Linked DNA regions of Arabidopsis thaliana. The protein of the gene in region 1 interacts with the protein of each later gene in a pairwise test. Each region holds a gene or a part of one and is shown in the gene's direction. Other genes may lie near its edges.

Region 1 (5,622 bases):
TTGATATAGCCAGCTAAATTAAAAATAATTCATATGTATTTAAACTCATGAACTATGTTTAAATATATAAACGACGACCATGGAAACATATGTAAATGTAGACAAAGAATTATTCTTGACTAAATTTGAACTTTTTTATTTGTGTTGATGCGTTATATCTCCACTATCATCATTGTTCACAAATTTTTTTTGAACTATACTCAATTTACAATTATATTGTACAGATTCAAATCAGCATTTCTTTAGAAACTTGAAACATAGGATTTACTATTCGAACTTTATTTAAATATGAGCGGGATAGACCAAATTCAAATAGATAATTATCGTGTAAATTCATTTGTACGTAGGAGCTCTACATAACAAAAAAATTGACATATTTTTGTTTTTGGATACACTCATATGAACGCATCTCTTTATACTTTACAGTAACAAAAAAAAATCCCAGTTTCCCATTTGTGTAAATGCCCATCTGTATATAAATCTTGATTATATAAAGGGAACAATAATATACTATAACAACGTCTCGAAAAATAAGGGAATATTCTTGTGCCGCCAAAGTTCAAGAAGAAAAATCCAAAACTAAAACACTAAACTAATGTTATTATTTTATAGGAATCTTAAAACATGATTACATTATGATTAAAGTGTAAATTACCTAAAGAATTGGTAATTAAGTCAGCCCACAAGCTGACGACTTCTCTTCCTTCCAAAAATTCACCTGCATTTTGTCAGTTCTCTGTCTCTTCGTACTTTCGATTAATTAACTAACCATAATTATCTTACTTTCAGCTAGGGGTAAATAAAAAAGCACATTTAGTTTACTTTTCTTTGAAAATCGATATGATCGAGATTTTGATATGGTCGAATTGTTTACCGTTTTTTTTCATCTACAATATTATTTTATATATAGGATTTTATCCAAATTATAACACGATAATAATAATAGACTAGTTTATACAACTCCGATACATATGCTCAGTCTTAGGATAATAAACTACAAAATAAATTTTCAATTAAAATTTTGGTATGAGTTTATAATAGTTATGATCTCCGAGAGAAAATTTACTAGCTTGCACATATATAGTAGGTTAGAATTACTTTTTTGGTTCAATCTTTTTTTTTTTAATGGGATTTCGAGTTCTGATCTTTTTTAAAAATAAGTTAAGATTCTATTTTTTTTTAAAAAAATACGTTAGAAAATACTTTCATTTGTAGGGCGAGAAAAAGTTTGCTAAAGAAAAAGACGAATAGGGAGCATTGCAAAAAGATCTTTGTAAGAAAAAGCATGAACAAGATACTCGTACGTATCTACTAACTTCTCTTATACTCAATTCCACAAACATGAATTTTTTCACAATTATTAATATCGAAATTAGCAATTTTTTTGTTTTTGTCAAAGGAAAATTAACAATTTTTTGAAGGAAAATCGAATATCAAAACGAAAATTTGAAGTGGGGTACTTGACGGGAAGAGTTCGCATGGTTTTCGTTTTCACTGTCGACCGGACGATTATTCTCTTTTGCATATTTAGGTTTTTAATTTCGTTGTCGTATGTTGTTGGATTTTACCTCACGAGCACGTGCATGGGTACACGTGCATTGCAGGCTTTGTTCTCAACAATAAACGAGAGATGTGACCTGCGCCGTTGGATCTGTTTACTTCTTTGACCGCCTCAATTTACGGTCAAATTAAAATCTCAAATTATATACACCATGACTGTGCTTTATATACGACTTTCTACTAAAAATAACATTAAGAGAAACTATAAGGAGAAGAACAATTAAAGAAGTTAATTTTACCTGAGGATGATGAAAAAAAGAACGGAGAAAAGAAATAATGAGATCATCATTCCAAATAGAAAAAGGCAGACATAGAAACTTTTGTGTGTGTCATGACGCACTGCCACTGAAAAACCAAATAATCAAATATTTCCAGATAAATATAGTTAATTTCCACCGCCATTAACTTTTAACTGCGAAATATAAATAAAATGGGAAAAATATATGAAAGTTTAATAATTTATGACAATAGCTGCGACAGTTCTTACAGATCAAGGTGCTTATATTTTTTTGTTTGAAAGAAAGAGGAATATTATTTTTTAGTACACATATGGGGCTTAAGTGTGTAGGGTGTATATATAAAGTGATCACCCAATATAACTTATCTTTTGTGTTTGCCTCTCATTCATAACTACATCAGATTCTAAGTATTTCTATTTATTTTCTCTTCATTACCTTTGCTCATCCTCCATCTCTTATTTAAAACTTAATTAATTACCTTTTCAATCTCTTCCAACAAAACTTTTGTCCAAGAAGAAGACATGACAACTGAAGATCAGACAATTTCAAGTAGTGGAGGATATGTCCAAAGCTCATCAACAACTGATCATGTTGATCATCATCATCATGATCAACATGAATCCCTCAATCCTCCTCTTGTCAAGAAGAAGAGAAACCTCCCTGGAAATCCTGGTAACAATTAATTAAGTTTAATAGAGATCACAAAATAATTCAACCCTAATCAACATTTTTTTTTCTGTTTGCTGAAAAGTCATGTTCTTTTTTTTTTCGATCTTGATCTACAAACATGCATGCTTTCTACTGTTTAGATCTTTCACATGATCAAATATGTATCCAGAATTTGATTGTTATATTTCGTTCTCTATAGATCCAGAAGCTGAGGTCATAGCTCTATCTCCAAAGACACTTATGGCCACAAATCGTTTCCTCTGCGAGATATGTGGAAAAGGGTTTCAAAGAGACCAGAATCTACAGCTTCACCGTCGAGGACACAACCTCCCATGGAAGCTAAAGCAGAGGACGAGCAAAGAAGTAAGGAAACGAGTGTATGTATGTCCAGAAAAGAGTTGCGTCCACCACCATCCGACGAGGGCACTTGGTGATCTTACCGGCATTAAGAAACATTTTTGTCGGAAACATGGCGAGAAAAAGTGGAAGTGTGAGAAATGCGCCAAGAGATATGCAGTCCAATCTGACTGGAAGGCTCATTCCAAGACTTGTGGGACTAGAGAATATAGATGCGACTGTGGTACAATTTTCTCCAGGTACTTAGTGTATATCTACACACGTACGTACTAATAGATGATCTTTACATTTCCTCATCACGGTATCATATATTTTTAGTGGCGTAACAAATATTTTGATCACCTAGCTGTAAGCGCATATCATGTTTAATTGCATTATATATAGATTCAAATATGATTTTAACTTCTTAACCAGTAAAGTTAATCATGTTTGAATATATTAGAATATAGGAAGAATATATATATACTTATATACATATCTTAAAACTCATACTAAACCTAGCTAGAGCTTATATTTTACCGGGTGAATACTATGATGAAAAACAAAAAAAAAACGAATCTGTTACCTCAACTAACACTACTGTACCACTGGACCACACAAACAAATTTCGTTTTACCACGTTGTTTGTAAGTAAATAAGATTTTTTTTTTTTTTTTTGTGAAACAATTTGTAAGTAAATAAGATACATGTTTTTTGTTGGAAGTAGTAGCTCATGTAGGGTCTAAAACAAAATAATTTGGAGTTACTTTTGTATAGATATTGCCATATTGGTCATTCTCTGAGCATACGTGCTGCTTGATTTCTTGAATAAGACAGTTTCTTGGATTGACATATTTTGGTTAAAGTAAGATATACAACTTTATTTATCTTTTTTTCCTTAATTGCTATCTATATTACTATATACATACATATTAAACACAAGCATAAATTAGCGAGTGTGTATAGACGATATTGATCTTATTGGTGTGTATAATTTGGTCAACAGGAGAGACAGCTTCATTACACATAGAGCGTTCTGTGACGCTTTAGCAGAAGAAACCGCTAGGCTAAACGCAGCCTCGCATCTCAAAAGCTTTGCCGCAACCGCTGGTAGTAATCTAAACTATCATTATCTCATGGGGACACTTATCCCATCACCATCACTACCACAACCACCGTCGTTTCCGTTCGGACCACCGCAACCGCAACATCATCACCACCACCAATTCCCAATCACAACCAACAACTTCGATCATCAAGACGTCATGAAACCAGCGTCTACGCTCTCTTTATGGTCGGGAGGAAATATTAATCATCATCAGCAAGTGACCATCGAGGACCGTATGGCGCCGCAGCCGCATTCACCGCAAGAGGATTACAATTGGGTTTTCGGAAACGCGAATAATCACGGCGAGTTAATAACGACGAGCGATTCACTCATTACTCATGACAATAATATTAATATCGTCCAGAGTAAGGAAAACGCTAACGGGGCAACTTCTCTTTCCGTGCCTTCTCTTTTTAGCAGCGTTGACCAAATTACCCAAGACGCAAACGCTGCTTCTGTGGCTGTTGCAAATATGTCGGCGACTGCGTTACTCCAAAAAGCTGCTCAGATGGGAGCGACTTCTTCTACGTCACCAACGACGACGATTACTACCGACCAATCAGCGTATCTTCAGAGTTTTGCATCGAAGAGTAATCAGATTGTAGAAGATGGTGGCAGCGACAGGTTCTTTGCTTCGTTTGGATCGAACAGTGTCGAGTTAATGAGTAATAATAATAACGGTCTTCACGAGATCGGGAACCCTAGAAACGGCGTTACGGTCGTTTCGGGGATGGGTGAATTACAGAATTACCCTTGGAAGCGTAGAAGAGTTGATATTGGGAATGCGGGAGGAGGAGGGCAAACTCGGGATTTTCTTGGGGTTGGTGTACAAACAATATGCCATTCTTCCTCTATCAATGGATGGATTTGAAACACTCTTTAATGGATTTTTCTACCTTATTTATGAGTGAACTTAATTATCAAAGCTGATTTCTTTAATTAATTTTAAAAATGATTTATTTCACCAGACCAAAATCATAAATTAATTTTACGATCGATTGTGGTTATTAGATTTATCGTATCTTCTCAAATTCAAAATGATCACCTACGTCTCAAAATTTACTCTTCCATCAGATTTTTGCTAAATTTAGGTCAACTAGTCTATACTTGTAGTACTCTTCTTATTTTATTTTTTCAATTTATAGACTACACTAGACACAAGTATAATGTAGTGTGATTCACATATTGGTATTATTATATGAGCATTTTCGTTGAAGAATTTTTTTTTTTTTTTCGTTGAAGAAAAGTTAAGATTCATTCATATTCACTATGTGTAGAAAGGTGTTTGATATGCTTTTTTAAAAATAAATAAGTACTTAATCAATTGTATGTATTTTGTATATATGCCATAGAAAAAGTGTGGATCGAGAAGTGGTGGGCACACAAGAAAAACATGAAGGCTTTTGAGCTCAATAATTCTAAACTTAACTTGCAGGGCAATTCATAGTGGAGGAAAACATTAAGAAATGAAAAATGAAGAGAGATAGAAAAATAAAAGAGAAAAGATTTTCTTTAAAGAATAGCTAATAATAATTCTCACCAAAATAAAATAAAATTAGGTAATAATATTGCTAGTGGTTCTGGAAAATCTTAATGGGCTTAAACTTATGGGCCTTTGATTAGTACGGACCAAATCTTCAGTCGGTCTTTGGGAGATCTTTCTCTGTCTATCTCTCCAAAGTTTAAATCTTTCCTCAGAATCTTACTGTA
Region 2 (3,855 bases), on another chromosome or scaffold:
TTTCAAGTAGGTTTTTAAGTTTTATGAAACAGAGAAACATATACGTGTTCGTGAAGGAGAAGACGTGAAGGTAACTTGGACTATAAAGTGTATAGTGTTAGCGAAAAGGTGAAGCAGAATAAATAAAGTGTTATGCGTTATCAAGTCTACCTAATATAACTAGCTAGGGATTTCTACTCTTGTTTTCATAATCGATCTACGGACATTTCTCGGAACGTGGTCAAGATTCATGAGTCTTCTGTTTTTTATGTCTCTGTTCAATTTGGTTTAGAGATTAGTATGCTTATTTGTTTATTTCATATATGGTTATGAGAGGAGAGGCTAATGGCATATACTCTGATGTTTGTGATGGCTGCTAATATCGTTGAGGAGTTATTCACGTTGTTTCATGCGCAAAAATCAACAGAAAAAATTCTGATTATGAGCCAACTCTGTGAACCCTTATAGTGCGCCCAGAGGTTTGCGAGGCAAAATCCCGATGAACCAGAAGGAATTTTAGATCTCTATCAACAATAACTATGATGGAGCTCGTTTAAATTCATCACAGCGACAACATCATTAGGCTGCCCAACGTCTATGTCTCCTGGAGGTGATGGTACTTGATCTCTCAACCAATTTTCTTGAAAATATCATGCCTTGTGAGCGCTTTCATATTGCGCCTAAAATACCCAATACGCAATGAACCTACTTCCAAAGGCATAGAAAAAAAACTGATAATGATAATGAGATTTGTCACTATACTTATCCTATCCCTACATAGGAGCCGTTTGATTGTTTAGTCCATGTTTTCATTTTGTTTAGTCTAATGCTATATAACTTTTCTTTATCAGTCTATTGTTATATGACTTATATATATCTCAAGAGATAAGGCCAATAAATCTTCTTCTTAATTATATCTGAAGACTCAAAACATATTTTGAGTTTAATAAAATAAATAACGTCCAAATGCTACATACAAACGGACCAAATTCATGGAGGTATAAATTTAAATTATTTTTTGTTCCAAAGTGTATGCAGTGATTTATTGATGAATGCGATAGAGCGGCGAAAGAGAATAATCGTCACCTAGAAGACAAATTGATCGGCCGTACATATATACATAAATACAAACCTGCCACTTCACATGTCACCCACCTTTAAGCACCCCCTTCACATACATACTTTCTATAACAAAAATATCAGCTTCTAGTTCATATTTATGTTACAATAACTCGAGTGAATCATACTAAAAAAATGTAATGCTTTCTCTAAATAGGAGATAAAATGCACCCTCCGACCTAACTAAAGATTCCTTATTTTAGCTATTTAAGACATATTGCACATGTATAGAGATACATAAACACATATGCAATATGCACATCTTCTATACATTGAAAAAAGCTGATCTTGCAAATATTTGTCTTACACAACACAAGCGACCAAAGCGATGCGTTTCCCAATGATAAGGTTACGACATACTTACACGACTCTCTCTATTGTCTCGTCTCTTTCTTTCCTCATCCCTCTCCTTTGTCTCCTTTCACTCTATTTTTCACTTTTCAGAATACTTTTACGTAAAAATCATGGACATGTCATTGTCTCCACCCTACTATACTCTTTTTTTGTTCTTTTTGTTTCCTCTTGTGTCACAAAAATAACAAGATTAAACGTACATTTCTCTCTAAAACCAGACTCAAATGACCAAAACCCGGATTCTCAACCCGACCCGATTCCCTTCTCCCAAACCCTTACGTGGCTGCGGCGACGCTAACTTCATGGAACAGCTCCTCCTTCACTGCGCCACCGCCATAGACTCCAACGACGCTGCATTAACTCACCAAATCCTCTGGGTCCTCAACAACATCGCTCCACCAGACGGTGACTCCACCCAACGTCTTACATCCGCATTCCTCCGCGCGTTGCTCTCACGCGCCGTCTCCAAAACCCCTACACTATCATCCACCATTAGCTTCCTACCTCAGGCCGATGAACTCCATCGTTTCTCAGTCGTGGAGTTAGCCGCTTTCGTAGACCTCACTCCGTGGCACCGGTTCGGATTCATTGCAGCCAACGCCGCGATCTTAACCGCCGTTGAAGGTTACTCAACGGTTCACATCGTTGACTTAAGTTTGACTCATTGTATGCAAATCCCTACTCTTATAGACGCCATGGCAAGCCGACTCAACAAACCTCCTCCGCTTCTTAAACTCACCGTCGTCTCTTCCTCCGACCACTTCCCACCATTCATCAACATCTCCTACGAAGAACTCGGATCTAAACTAGTCAACTTCGCCACCACACGAAACATTACAATGGAGTTCACAATCGTACCTTCTACTTACTCCGATGGCTTCTCCTCCCTCTTACAACAGTTACGGATTTATCCTTCTTCATTCAACGAAGCTCTCGTCGTTAACTGTCACATGATGCTCCGTTACATCCCTGAAGAACCCCTAACTTCATCATCATCATCGCTCCGAACAGTTTTCTTGAAACAACTCCGATCTTTGAATCCAAGAATCGTAACCCTAATCGAAGAAGACGTAGATCTCACATCGGAGAACTTGGTTAACCGGTTAAAATCGGCGTTTAACTACTTCTGGATTCCGTTCGATACGACGGACACGTTTATGAGTGAGCAGAGACGGTGGTACGAGGCGGAGATAAGTTGGAAGATAGAAAACGTGGTGGCGAAGGAAGGTGCGGAGAGAGTGGAGAGGACGGAGACGAAGAGACGGTGGATAGAGAGAATGAGAGAGGCTGAGTTCGGTGGAGTTAGGGTTAAAGAAGATGCGGTGGCGGATGTGAAGGCGATGCTGGAGGAGCACGCTGTCGGGTGGGGAATGAAGAAGGAAGACGACGACGAGAGTCTCGTGCTGACGTGGAAAGGTCATAGTGTTGTGTTTGCTACCGTTTGGGTTCCCATTTAAATCAGGTTGATTTAATTTAATTAGCGTTTTAATTGGATACCTAATATAGTAGAATAGCATTGCTTTAATTTCTGATCTAATTACAATTTAATAATATTTTTTATTAACTTTTTTTTTTGTTCTAATCTAGTGTCAATTGTTTTGTACTAGTTCAAAACATTCTAACGTTGAAAAATAATCGTTATTATGACTAAACATATTTTACATCTTCATAAGCACTTTTAGTTTACATAGATATTTTTCCGTGAATAGGCTTAGTGATAACAGTGAAAACTTATTATAATAGGAAAAATTGAATAGTATATAGTTATTTAAATTTGTAGCGAGAATAAACATGTTGGAGATACAAAGTAGAGAGGATCAGATACAATTGCCTTCTTAAAATGAAGACATAAACAAAACAAATGAAAAACCAATAATATCTTCTCATCGTCAAAATGAACATTCAAACATTAATAAAACGAAAGGAAAATAGGAGATAAGACAACTTATATTTTCCCATTACCAGCTCTAGTTAAACGCACCACAATCACGACGGATGTTTCCATTGCTGCTATTCTTAACTCCAACACGGCCAAGTTTGGTCATGGCTATCACAAAAGCGCGGTTAAAGGCCGTAGAGTTTGAGGCCCAAGCATTAACGGTGGGCCTAGAGCGACCATCCGTGAAGAGAACTTGATCGGAGGTGAAGAGACCTTTGCCTTGTTGAAGATTCTTGAAGTAAGTGTTGTCAAACGTCTTGGGCGTGACTGGGTCCATGTTGATTGCAATTCTTGGGTCCACATTCTTAGGACAAGCCTTTTGAAGCTCAATAGCGTAAGCCTTGTTTAAAGTTGGGTCCACGGAGTTGATGCCGTTGAATTTGTGGATTCTTTTAAAGACCTTGCCACAATGTGCGAATCCAAGGGTGTGAGCCGCTACATTATGAATTTATCGGTTTAGACAT

What was found.
Region 2: the proteins of MGP (region 1) and AT3G49950 interact in binary tests that used the Arabidopsis thaliana proteins (3 or more experiments, as listed by UniProt).

What each region holds. Positions count from the first base shown.
Region 1 is NC_003070.9:966,757-972,378, reverse strand, and holds MGP (C2H2 and C2HC zinc fingers superfamily protein), read left to right. Parts: upstream 1-2,044; 5' UTR 2,045-2,320; coding exon 2,321-2,471; intron 2,472-2,667; coding exon 2,668-3,064; intron 3,065-3,810; coding exon 3,811-4,783; 3' UTR 4,784-4,909; downstream 4,910-5,622. UniProt on the Arabidopsis thaliana protein: Transcription factor that regulates tissue boundaries and asymmetric cell division. Contributes to the sequestration of 'SHORT-ROOT' to the nucleus. Interacts with the SCR and MGP promoters.
Region 2 is NC_003074.8:18,520,894-18,524,748, forward strand, and holds AT3G49950 (GRAS family transcription factor), read left to right. Parts: upstream 1-1,572; 5' UTR 1,573-1,676; coding exon 1,677-2,909; 3' UTR 2,910-3,041; downstream 3,042-3,855. Other genes in the region: AT3G49960 (Peroxidase superfamily protein), read right to left, coding at 3,420-3,826. UniProt on the Arabidopsis thaliana protein: Probable transcription factor involved in plant development.